2 linked regions of the Macaca fascicularis genome follow. The protein of the gene in region 1 interacts with the protein of each later gene in a pairwise test. Links are inferred from orthologs where the notes say so. Each region holds a gene or a part of one and is shown in the gene's direction. Other genes may lie near its edges.

The links.
Region 2: the proteins of PRR22 (region 1) and NELFA interact in a two-hybrid assay, tested with the Homo sapiens proteins (2 studies listed by BioGRID). The two-hybrid records come from large-scale screens. The link is inferred for Macaca fascicularis from reciprocal best matches to the Homo sapiens genes PRR22 and NELFA.

Annotation. Positions count from the first base shown.
Region 1 is NC_088393.1:6,543,672-6,547,881, reverse strand, and holds PRR22 (proline-rich protein 22), read left to right. Parts: upstream 1-1,468; 5' UTR 1,469-1,615; coding exon 1,616-1,949; intron 1,950-2,040; coding exon 2,041-2,103; intron 2,104-2,423; coding exon 2,424-3,502; 3' UTR 3,503-3,520; downstream 3,521-4,210. Other genes in the region: DUS3L (tRNA-dihydrouridine(47) synthase [NAD(P)(+)]-like), read left to right, coding at 685-873, 969-1,097, 1,204-1,276.
Region 2 is NC_088379.1:2,156,454-2,160,762, reverse strand, and holds the start of NELFA (negative elongation factor A), read left to right. Parts: upstream 1-1,509; 5' UTR 1,510-1,524; coding exon 1,525-1,734; intron 1,735-4,309. UniProt on the Homo sapiens protein: Essential component of the NELF complex, a complex that negatively regulates the elongation of transcription by RNA polymerase II.

The DNA of each region.
Region 1 (4,210 bases):
AGAGATGTTACAGAGATGCAGCTCCAGCTTAATGCACAGCAGCAGTGCCCCGAACCCGACACGCCGTCACCCACCCCTGCTCTGTGGCGGGCTGTTGGTCCCAAGTTGGGAGGGGCAGAGAGCGCTGTTAGGAGCTGCAGCTGTGTTGCGGCAGAGAGGACTGAAAATTGCTGCTGCCATGGGATCTGATTATGGTGGGTTGAAAGTCCTGGGCTTTGGCCAGGTGGACTGGCTCACCCCTGTAATCCCAGCACTTTGGGAGGCCAAGGCAGGCCGATCATTTGAGGTCAGAAGTTCAAGACCAGCCTGGCCAACGTGGTGAAACCCCATCTCTACTAAAAATACAAAAATTAGCCAGGTGTGGTAGTACACGCCTGTAATCCCAACTACTAGGGAGACTGAGGCAGAATTGCTTAAATCTGGGAGATGGAGGTTGTACAGTGAGCCGAGATCTTATCACTGCACTCCAGCCTGGGCAACAGAGCCAGACTCTGCCTAAAAAAAAAAGAAAAGAAGAAAAGAAAGTCCTGGGCTTTGAAGGTTGTGTGCACACAGCCGGGAGGCTTCCTAGGCTTAGTAGGTTTCGTGGTCTGGGCTCCAGCTCAGGCCAGGCCATGGAAGCAGGGGCCACACGATCCCAGGCAGGCTGGTGGCTGGGCCCACTGATCGTCGCCCGTCCCACAGTGGCGCCCTGCTCAAGCCGTGGCTGTTCACGGAGATCAAGGAGCAGAGGCACTGGGACATCTCGTCGTCCGAGCGCCTGGACATCCTGCGGGATTTTACCAACTACGGCCTGGAGCACTGGGGCTCGGACACGCAGGGTGTGGAGAAGACCCGACGCTTCCTGCTCGAGTGGCTGTCCTTCCTGTGCCGGTGGGCACCGGGGCTGGCTGGGGTGGGCGGCGCATGGGCCGCGGCTGACTAGGGCTGACTCAAGCCTGTTCTGCTGCCTGCCCGCCTGCCTGCAGGTACGTGCCCGTGGGGCTGCTGGAACGGCTCCCACAGAGGATCAACGAGCGGCCGCCCTACTACCTGGGCCGCGACTACCTGGAGACGCTGATGGCCAGCCAGAAGGCCGCCGACTGGATCCGCATCAGGTGCCTGGGTGGGCTGGAGGTGCAGGGCTGGAGTCAGGGCTCTGGGTCATGGAGGGTGCTTTGCAGGCCCTGGGCCTGACCTTGCTTTCCACCTGCCCTCCCACAGTGAGATGCTCCTTGGACCAGTGCCCCCCAACTTCGTCTTCTTGCCGAAGCACAAGGCCAACGCGTATAAGTAGCCTCAGGCTTTCCCAGGGGCACCGTGGGGCGAGGAGAGTACAATAAATTTTATTCTTTTAAAATCCAGGCCTTTCTGTGACCCTGAAGCAGCCCCTCCTTGGCCCCCATCTTCCCCAAACCTCTTGGCCGCCTCCATGGGCCCTGCCCCAAGCTGGGTGCTGCTCGTGCCCAGAGAGGCCTTGACCCCCAAGAAGGTAGCAGATGCAGGACCCGGGGAGCCTCAGCCTGCATGCCCGTGGAGATCAGGGCAGCCTGTCTGGAGGAGGCAGCCTCGAAGCTGTTAGGGGGTGTTGCTGGAAGAGGCAAAGGCCTGGCCCAGAGTCCTCCCTCCCCTCGTGATGACCGTCTCTGCCACCGTCTGCCCCTGCCCGCCCCTAACACCCAGAACCCCAACCAGTGGGCGGGCTGCAGGCTGGAACCCGCTGCCCCGAGTAACCAGGCAAACAGAACCTCACCGGGTTCTCAGCCTCTTCTCTGGTTGGGCCACCTGTGCTCCTACTGCCGCCCTCCCGGCCTGTCTGGGCTGGGCCCCCCATTGCCCCATGCAGCACCCCAAACCCTTCTATGCCCCTGCAGCTCCCCAGGAAGGTTTCAGCCCCCAGAGTCTGGAGGGGGCCGAGGCACTGGGCAGCCAGCCCGCTCCCACCTGCACCGAGCCACCTCCCGCCGTGGGTACGATCGGGTGGGCAGGGGCACCTGTTAGGGAGGGCTCAGGGTCCCACCCGCCTAAGGGCCCCACCCACCCGGGCACCTTTGTCCACAGGCTCCTTGAACCTCTACCATCCCCCAGACCCAGAGAAAGAGGTGTTTCCGGCCCCTCCAGCAGGTACCGGCCTCCCCTGAACCCTTGATGAGGCTGGGAGTGGGTTTGAGGGCAGGCCCATCTTGCCCCTGCCCTGTCCCTAGGTGGGGGCCTGAAGGCATGGCCTCTGCTCCCCTGCTTCACACAGGTCCCCCAGATGAGCCCCAAAGACGAGCTCTGTGTTATCCATCACCCAGCCAGGGCCCCAAAGCAATACCTATGTCGTCCCCCAAAGGGGCCCCCCAATGGCAAGGTTCTCGTGGCATCCCCCAGACAGGCCCCCAGGCTTGAGCTGGGCCCATCAGGCAGCGGCTGCTCTCAGGCCACCTGCCTGCTGCCCACAGGTTTCCAGATGGCCCCATGCGGGTGCTTCTTCGATCCCCGCATCTATCGGATTGAGTGGACCACCCCTGACCTGGGCCAGTCGGCCCTGTACAAGCTGGCGGCAAGCAGCGGGGGGCCAGTGGGGGGCCCCTCTGCCCCAGGCAGCTACCTCCTGGAGCCGCAGCCCTACCTCAAGGCCCCGGGGCTGCCCCCATACCCCCACTACCAACCAGCACCGGGGGGGGCCCAGTTCCTCTTGCCCTACTTCCCGCCTGAGGGCCCCGGGCCAGAGGCTCTGGGCTTTGTGGGGGACGCGGGACCCGCCGCCGCCTTCATGGAGCTGCCCCTACCGCCACTTGAGGAAGGCCCGGCCCCGCCACCCCCTCCACCTCCCAAGGAGAACAAGCCACCCCCTGTACTCATCACGCTGCCTGCAGAGCCCACACTGCCCCCGGACGCCTACAGCCACCTCCAGGGCCACCTCGGCCACTTCCCTGGGCCCGAACCCCTGGCCTTCCCCGCCAAGGAGCTACAGGGCGGCGGGGCCCGACCTGGGCTGCCCACGTACCCACCAGGCCTCAGCGAGCTCAAGGTGGCTGAGGCCAAGGACGGGGCCCTCCTGGGAGCAGGCGAGGCCAAGGCCCCCGAGACGGCCAGAGCTTTGGCACTGCCTGACAAGGTGCTGCTCGAGGACGCCATGAAGCTCTTCGACTGCCTGCCAGGCGCCACTGAGCCTGAGGGTGCCCTGTGCGAGGTCCCCGGGCCGGCCCTGCCTGACAGCAGTGGTGGGAACCCAGCCGATGACATCCGGTCGCTGCGCCTGCCCGAGGAGCTGCTGTCCTTCGACTACAGCGTGCCTGAGATCCTGGACACCGTGTCCAACGTCGACTACTTCTTCAACTTCAAGGCGCTCGACGAGGAGCAGCCGCCCCACCCGGGGCCCCCTACCGCCAACACCCCAGCCCCCAGTCTGCCCGGCAAGAGAAAGGCCTCGACGGCCAAGAAGGGAAAGCTGGGAGGGAAGGCCAAGCAGCTGGCAGGCCCAGCCAGCGCCACTTCCCCGGGGCCCAGGCAGGACCTGGGACCCACCCCCCATTAAAGCACATTTGACCTTTCAGCTCCATGTCCACGTGGTGGCCTTGGGGATGGGGAGGGGGCTGGAGGTGCACACCTGGCCCCTCACCCTGTCATCCCGCAGACTGGCAAGGCAGTGCCCCCGGCCTCACAGTGAGGCCTCCAGAGCCTAGCAGGGGAACCCCGGAATGACAGGACACCCTAAACCCCTTGAGTCCCAGCCCTGGAAGATCAGACTCCACTGGCAGAGGCACGGGCCTCCTGGGGCATGGGGTAGCTGACCTCTAGACTCGACGTGTTCTAAGGATTTTCACCCCTTTGGTGGGGAAAAGCAAGGCTGCCCAGAGAGAGGCAGGAACTTCCCCGGAGACACACAGCTATCAGGGCAGGGCTTGTGGAGCAGCTTCCAGATCTCCACCCAGCCGCCTCCTGTCCCCAGGAAGCCACAGTCACTGCAGGGAGGGCGGGAAGGGCCACACTCTTGTTCAGACAGACAGGTGGGTGCAGGGGCTTGACCTGATGGTGTGAGGGTGGGGGCTGGGGCAGGGATGGGGAGACTGCCCACGCGTGAAGGAGTGGGGAGCACACAGCACCCAGGGGACCTGGCATGTGCACCCGAGATGGAGACAGGAGACAGCACCTGGAGCCCAGGAGAGGGTCAGGGGCCCCAGCGGGCCACACTTTTGGGTCCCGGGTGGCAGGGACAGCCCCGCTACTGGTTACAAAACGGGAT
Region 2 (4,309 bases), on another chromosome or scaffold:
AGAGACGAGGTTTCTCCATGTTGGTCAGGCTGGTCTCGACCTCCCGACCTCAGGTGATCCGCCCACCACGGCTTCCCGAAGTGCTGGGATTACAGACACTAGCCACCACGCCTGGCTTAATGATTAAACTTCTTTCAGCACCAGCCCCACTGATGTCACAACTTCACCCATTAGTCAATAACTTGTCTTTGCTGAATTGGATACTAACTTTTAAATCATTTAAAAAATATTCTCTTAAATTTTATGTGCTATTTGCAATGTAATGGTTATCGACATGACACAGTTTTAAGTTTAATCTTCATCATCAACATTTTCTCTATCACTTTCTTCAGTTTAAGCAGTCAACAAAACCGCCGCTCCAGCCCTGATCTGTAGCATTTGCGGGTTTCCACCGTGTGACTTCCGCAGGACTGCCAAGTTCAAGCCGCCAAGGCCAGGGCACTGCTAGCAGCTGAGCTGAGCCCTGTTCTCCCTGCGTTTCCACTGCCCAGTGGCAACAGCTGTGAACGGCGGCAGGCGCATAGCGGTGGAAGAATAAGGAAAAGACCTTTTAAAAAAAGATACTATAATACAGAAGCCAGGCAAGGCGGCCCTGGCCTGTAACCCCAGCACTCTGGGAAGCAGAGGTGGGCGGGCTGATCGCTTGAGCTCAGGAGTTTGAGACCAGCCTGGCCAGCATAGGAAGGCCTCGTCAAAAAGACAAAATAGTAAAATGAATTTAATAAAATGAGGTTCAACTTTTACTCATGTTTGTACCTAATGACAAGCTCGTAAAACTGAAAAGTTCACTATTGGCTTCTGCCCATATGCTCCAGGCCGAGTAGGGGCCGGGGCCTCCCTGCACTGCGGGGTCACGGGTGCCCCGGGACCACTCCCCGAGCGCCCTCCGATCCGCATGCTCAGCGCAGCTCAGTTGGCGGCGCGCCACGGGCAGAGCGGGTTCAGCGGGGGACGGAAGCTCAGCGCGGAGACTGGAATCCCGCAGGCTCACTCCGCAGGGCCGCGGCTCCTCTCTGTGCAGGTGCTGGGCCCGCGGGGGCGGGCGACCAGGTCCGCACCGAGACCCAAGCGGGGAGAAAGCGAAGAGCGGAGGACGGGGCAGGCGCACCGGGAACCTCCGCCCCAACGCACGGCCGCGAGTCTGCAGCACTTGACACCTGCACTGCGAACGCCAGGCCGCATCCCGAGCTCCCAAGCCGCGAAGACGCGCGCCCGCTCGTGACGTCATCTTTTGCGGTCTCCCCGAGAGTCGGCAGCGGGCGCCGCCATGATGCGTTACGGAAGCCGATAGTTCTTGCCCGGCGTCACCCCGTCGTTCCGGCTCTCGACGTTGCCACAGAGCTTCCCGGAGACGCGGCCGCCACCCAGAAGCGCTCTCGTTGGAAGCCCCGCTCGTTGGACCCTGCTGCCTGCGCCGCCTCTGCAGCCCGCAGCCCGACGGGCGCCGCCATGTTGGGGTCCTAGCCGAGGGCGCGTAGGTGTCTTCATAAGATGCCGGGGCTGCGACGCGCGCTTTCCCCCAAGATGGCGTCCATGAGGGAGAGCGACACGGGCCTGTGGCTGCACAACAAGCTAGGGGCCACGGACGAGCTGTGGGCGCCGCCCAGTATCGCGTCCCTGCTGACGGCCGCGGTCATCGACAACATCCGTCTCTGCTTCCATGGCCTCTCTTCGGCGGTGAAGCTCAAGTTGCTACTCGGGACGCTGCACCTTCCGCGCCGCACGGTGGACGAGGTGAGGCAGGCGGGGCGCGCCGCGGCCTCCAGAATCCCAGCCTTCCCACCTCCGACCCGCACACCCTACTCCTGCCCCTGCTCCGGACCCTCCTCGGTCCCTCCCCCACCTTCCCATCCCCCTTCAGACTGTCAGCCTCCCCGGGTCCTCAGCCCTCACGCCCCCGCCTTCACGCCCCCTCCTCGCTCCTCCCGATCTCTCCCTCCAGTCCTCACCTCCCCCTGGGTCTTCATCCCCCGCCTCGATCCTCATCTCCCACCTCGGTTCTCATCCCCACCCTGGGTTCTCAGCAATTCCCCCCCGCACCTCCTCGCGCCCTGGGAATCCCCCCCTAGGGTCCTCACCTCCCTACTTTTCGTCCTCACCCCTACCTAAGTTTTCACCTCCCCTGGGATCCTCAGCCTCCTCCACGCCGGGCCCCGGGTTCTCACTACGACCCCCAGGTCCTCACTCCCCTCCTTGGGCCCCCGGGTACTCATCCTCCCCCGCCCCCGCCTCCCCCGCCCCCAGTCCTCACCACCCTAATCCCCCACCGTCCCAAAGCGACCGACTCTCGGGGCGGGGGTGCGCCGGCCCCAGCGGGGTCTCCCGTCGGGGACGCAGCCCCAGTGACCTGGGCGAGGGCGGGGGTCCCGAGAGAAACCCACGTGAGGAAGGGGCGGCCTGTGCTCTGTAGCTCCAGTGTCCGCTGACTGCATTTTGTTGTTCTCACCTCGCAAAGACCCCGGCCGCCCGGAGTGCTCTATGTCCATTTTACTCTTTTCTGCACGCCGTTTGGCGTCATTCCAATGAGTGGGTGTGTGAGGTTTGTTTTATTTTTCCTCAATGTTATATTGTATCTCTTTCCGTGCGAAATAAACCAAGTAGTTTTGCAGACTATTGAAGCCCCGTGGTTGTTTAAACGTTCCCGGCTACTGGCGTATTATATTATAGGTTGTAATTGTTTTTTATTGAGATATGACATGTATGGAAAAGTGCATTTTTGTTCAGTTTCACGAATAATAGTAGCATCGTGAGCCACTCCTGTGATCCTCACACAGGTGGAGATACAGAACCATGCCTGTTCCTTGGAAACCTCCCATTGGTAATCACAGCCTTCTTACTTTCCCCTCCCTCATTTTGGAAAGGTGATCATTTCTGTACCATCTCCCCGGTATTAGCAGTTATTTATGCACCCCTGAATGGCACAGCTTGATTGCCTGATTTGGACTTAGTGTGATGGTATCATAGTGTATTTTGTGTGCGGCGTGCATGTGTCCTTTTGGTGGACACCTTGACAGTTTCATCCAAGTTGCAGCTGAGTTGGTTTGATTTTCACTGCTCTGTGGTATTCCTTTGAGCACGAAGCTCTTTATCCATTCTATCACAGTGACACATTTAGCTTATGGCCAGTTGTGTGCTGTTGTAAATAATTCTGTTACTACATTATTGTGATGTGTTGCATCAGGTATTTGGAATCTTGGGATTTCTCTAGGGTATAATATCTAGGAGTGGAATTGTGGGGATCATAGGATTATGCCAAATTATTTTTCAGAGTGTTTTGTTTTTGTTTTTTTGTTTTGTTTAAGACCGGGTCTGGCGCGCTGTCACCCAGGCTGGAGTGCAGCTGCACAATCATGGCTCACTGCAGCCTTGACCTCCTGGGCTCAGGTGGTCTTCCCACCTCAGCCTCCTGAGTAACTGGGAATACAGGGTTTCACCATGCTGCCGAGGCTGGTCTTGAATTCCTGACCTCAAGCAGTCTGCTTGCCTCAGCCTCCTAAAGGGCTGGGATTACAGGTGTGAACCATGGCACTCGGCCTGCTTCTTGGTTTTCTGTTTTGAGAATTGTATATTCAAATCTGCTTTTAAATTCTCTTTTTTCCCATTGTTTTGTAAGAGTATCTTTTTTATTATTTATTATAAATGCTAGACGTCAGTCCTTTTTCAGTTACAAATATCTCCCAGTTGTCCTTTGACTTAGCTTCCTGGAATTCTTTTCTTTGTTTTTTTGTTTTTTGACCCCAGGCTGGAGTGCAGTGGCCCGATCTCTGCTCACTGCAAGCTCCGCCTCCCGGGTTCACACCATTCTCCTGCCTCAGCCTCCCGAGTAGCTGGGACTACAGGCGCCCGCCACCACACCCAGCTAATTTTTTGTATTTTTACTAGAGATGGGGTTTCACCGTCTTAGCCAGGATGGTCTTGATCTCCTGACCTCGTGATCCACCCACCTCAGCCTCCCAAAGTGCTGGGATTACAGGCGTCAGCCACCATGACCGGCTTTTGTTTTTCATTTTTTGTTTTTTTTTGAGACAGCGTCTCACTCTGTCACCCAGGCTGGAGTCTAGTGGTATAATCATAGCTCACTTTAACCTTGAACTCCTGGGCTAAAACAGTCCTCCCTCCTCAACCTCTGTACTAGCTGGTACAACAGATGCTCTGCCACCACGCCTGGCTAATTTTTGTGCGTGTGTATGAAGATGGTGGGGGGGTCTTACTATATTGCCCAGGCGGGTCTTGAACTAGCCTCAAGTGATCCTCCTGCCTTGGCCTCCTATAGTGTTGGGATTACAGGTGTGATCCTTGCGTCCAGCCT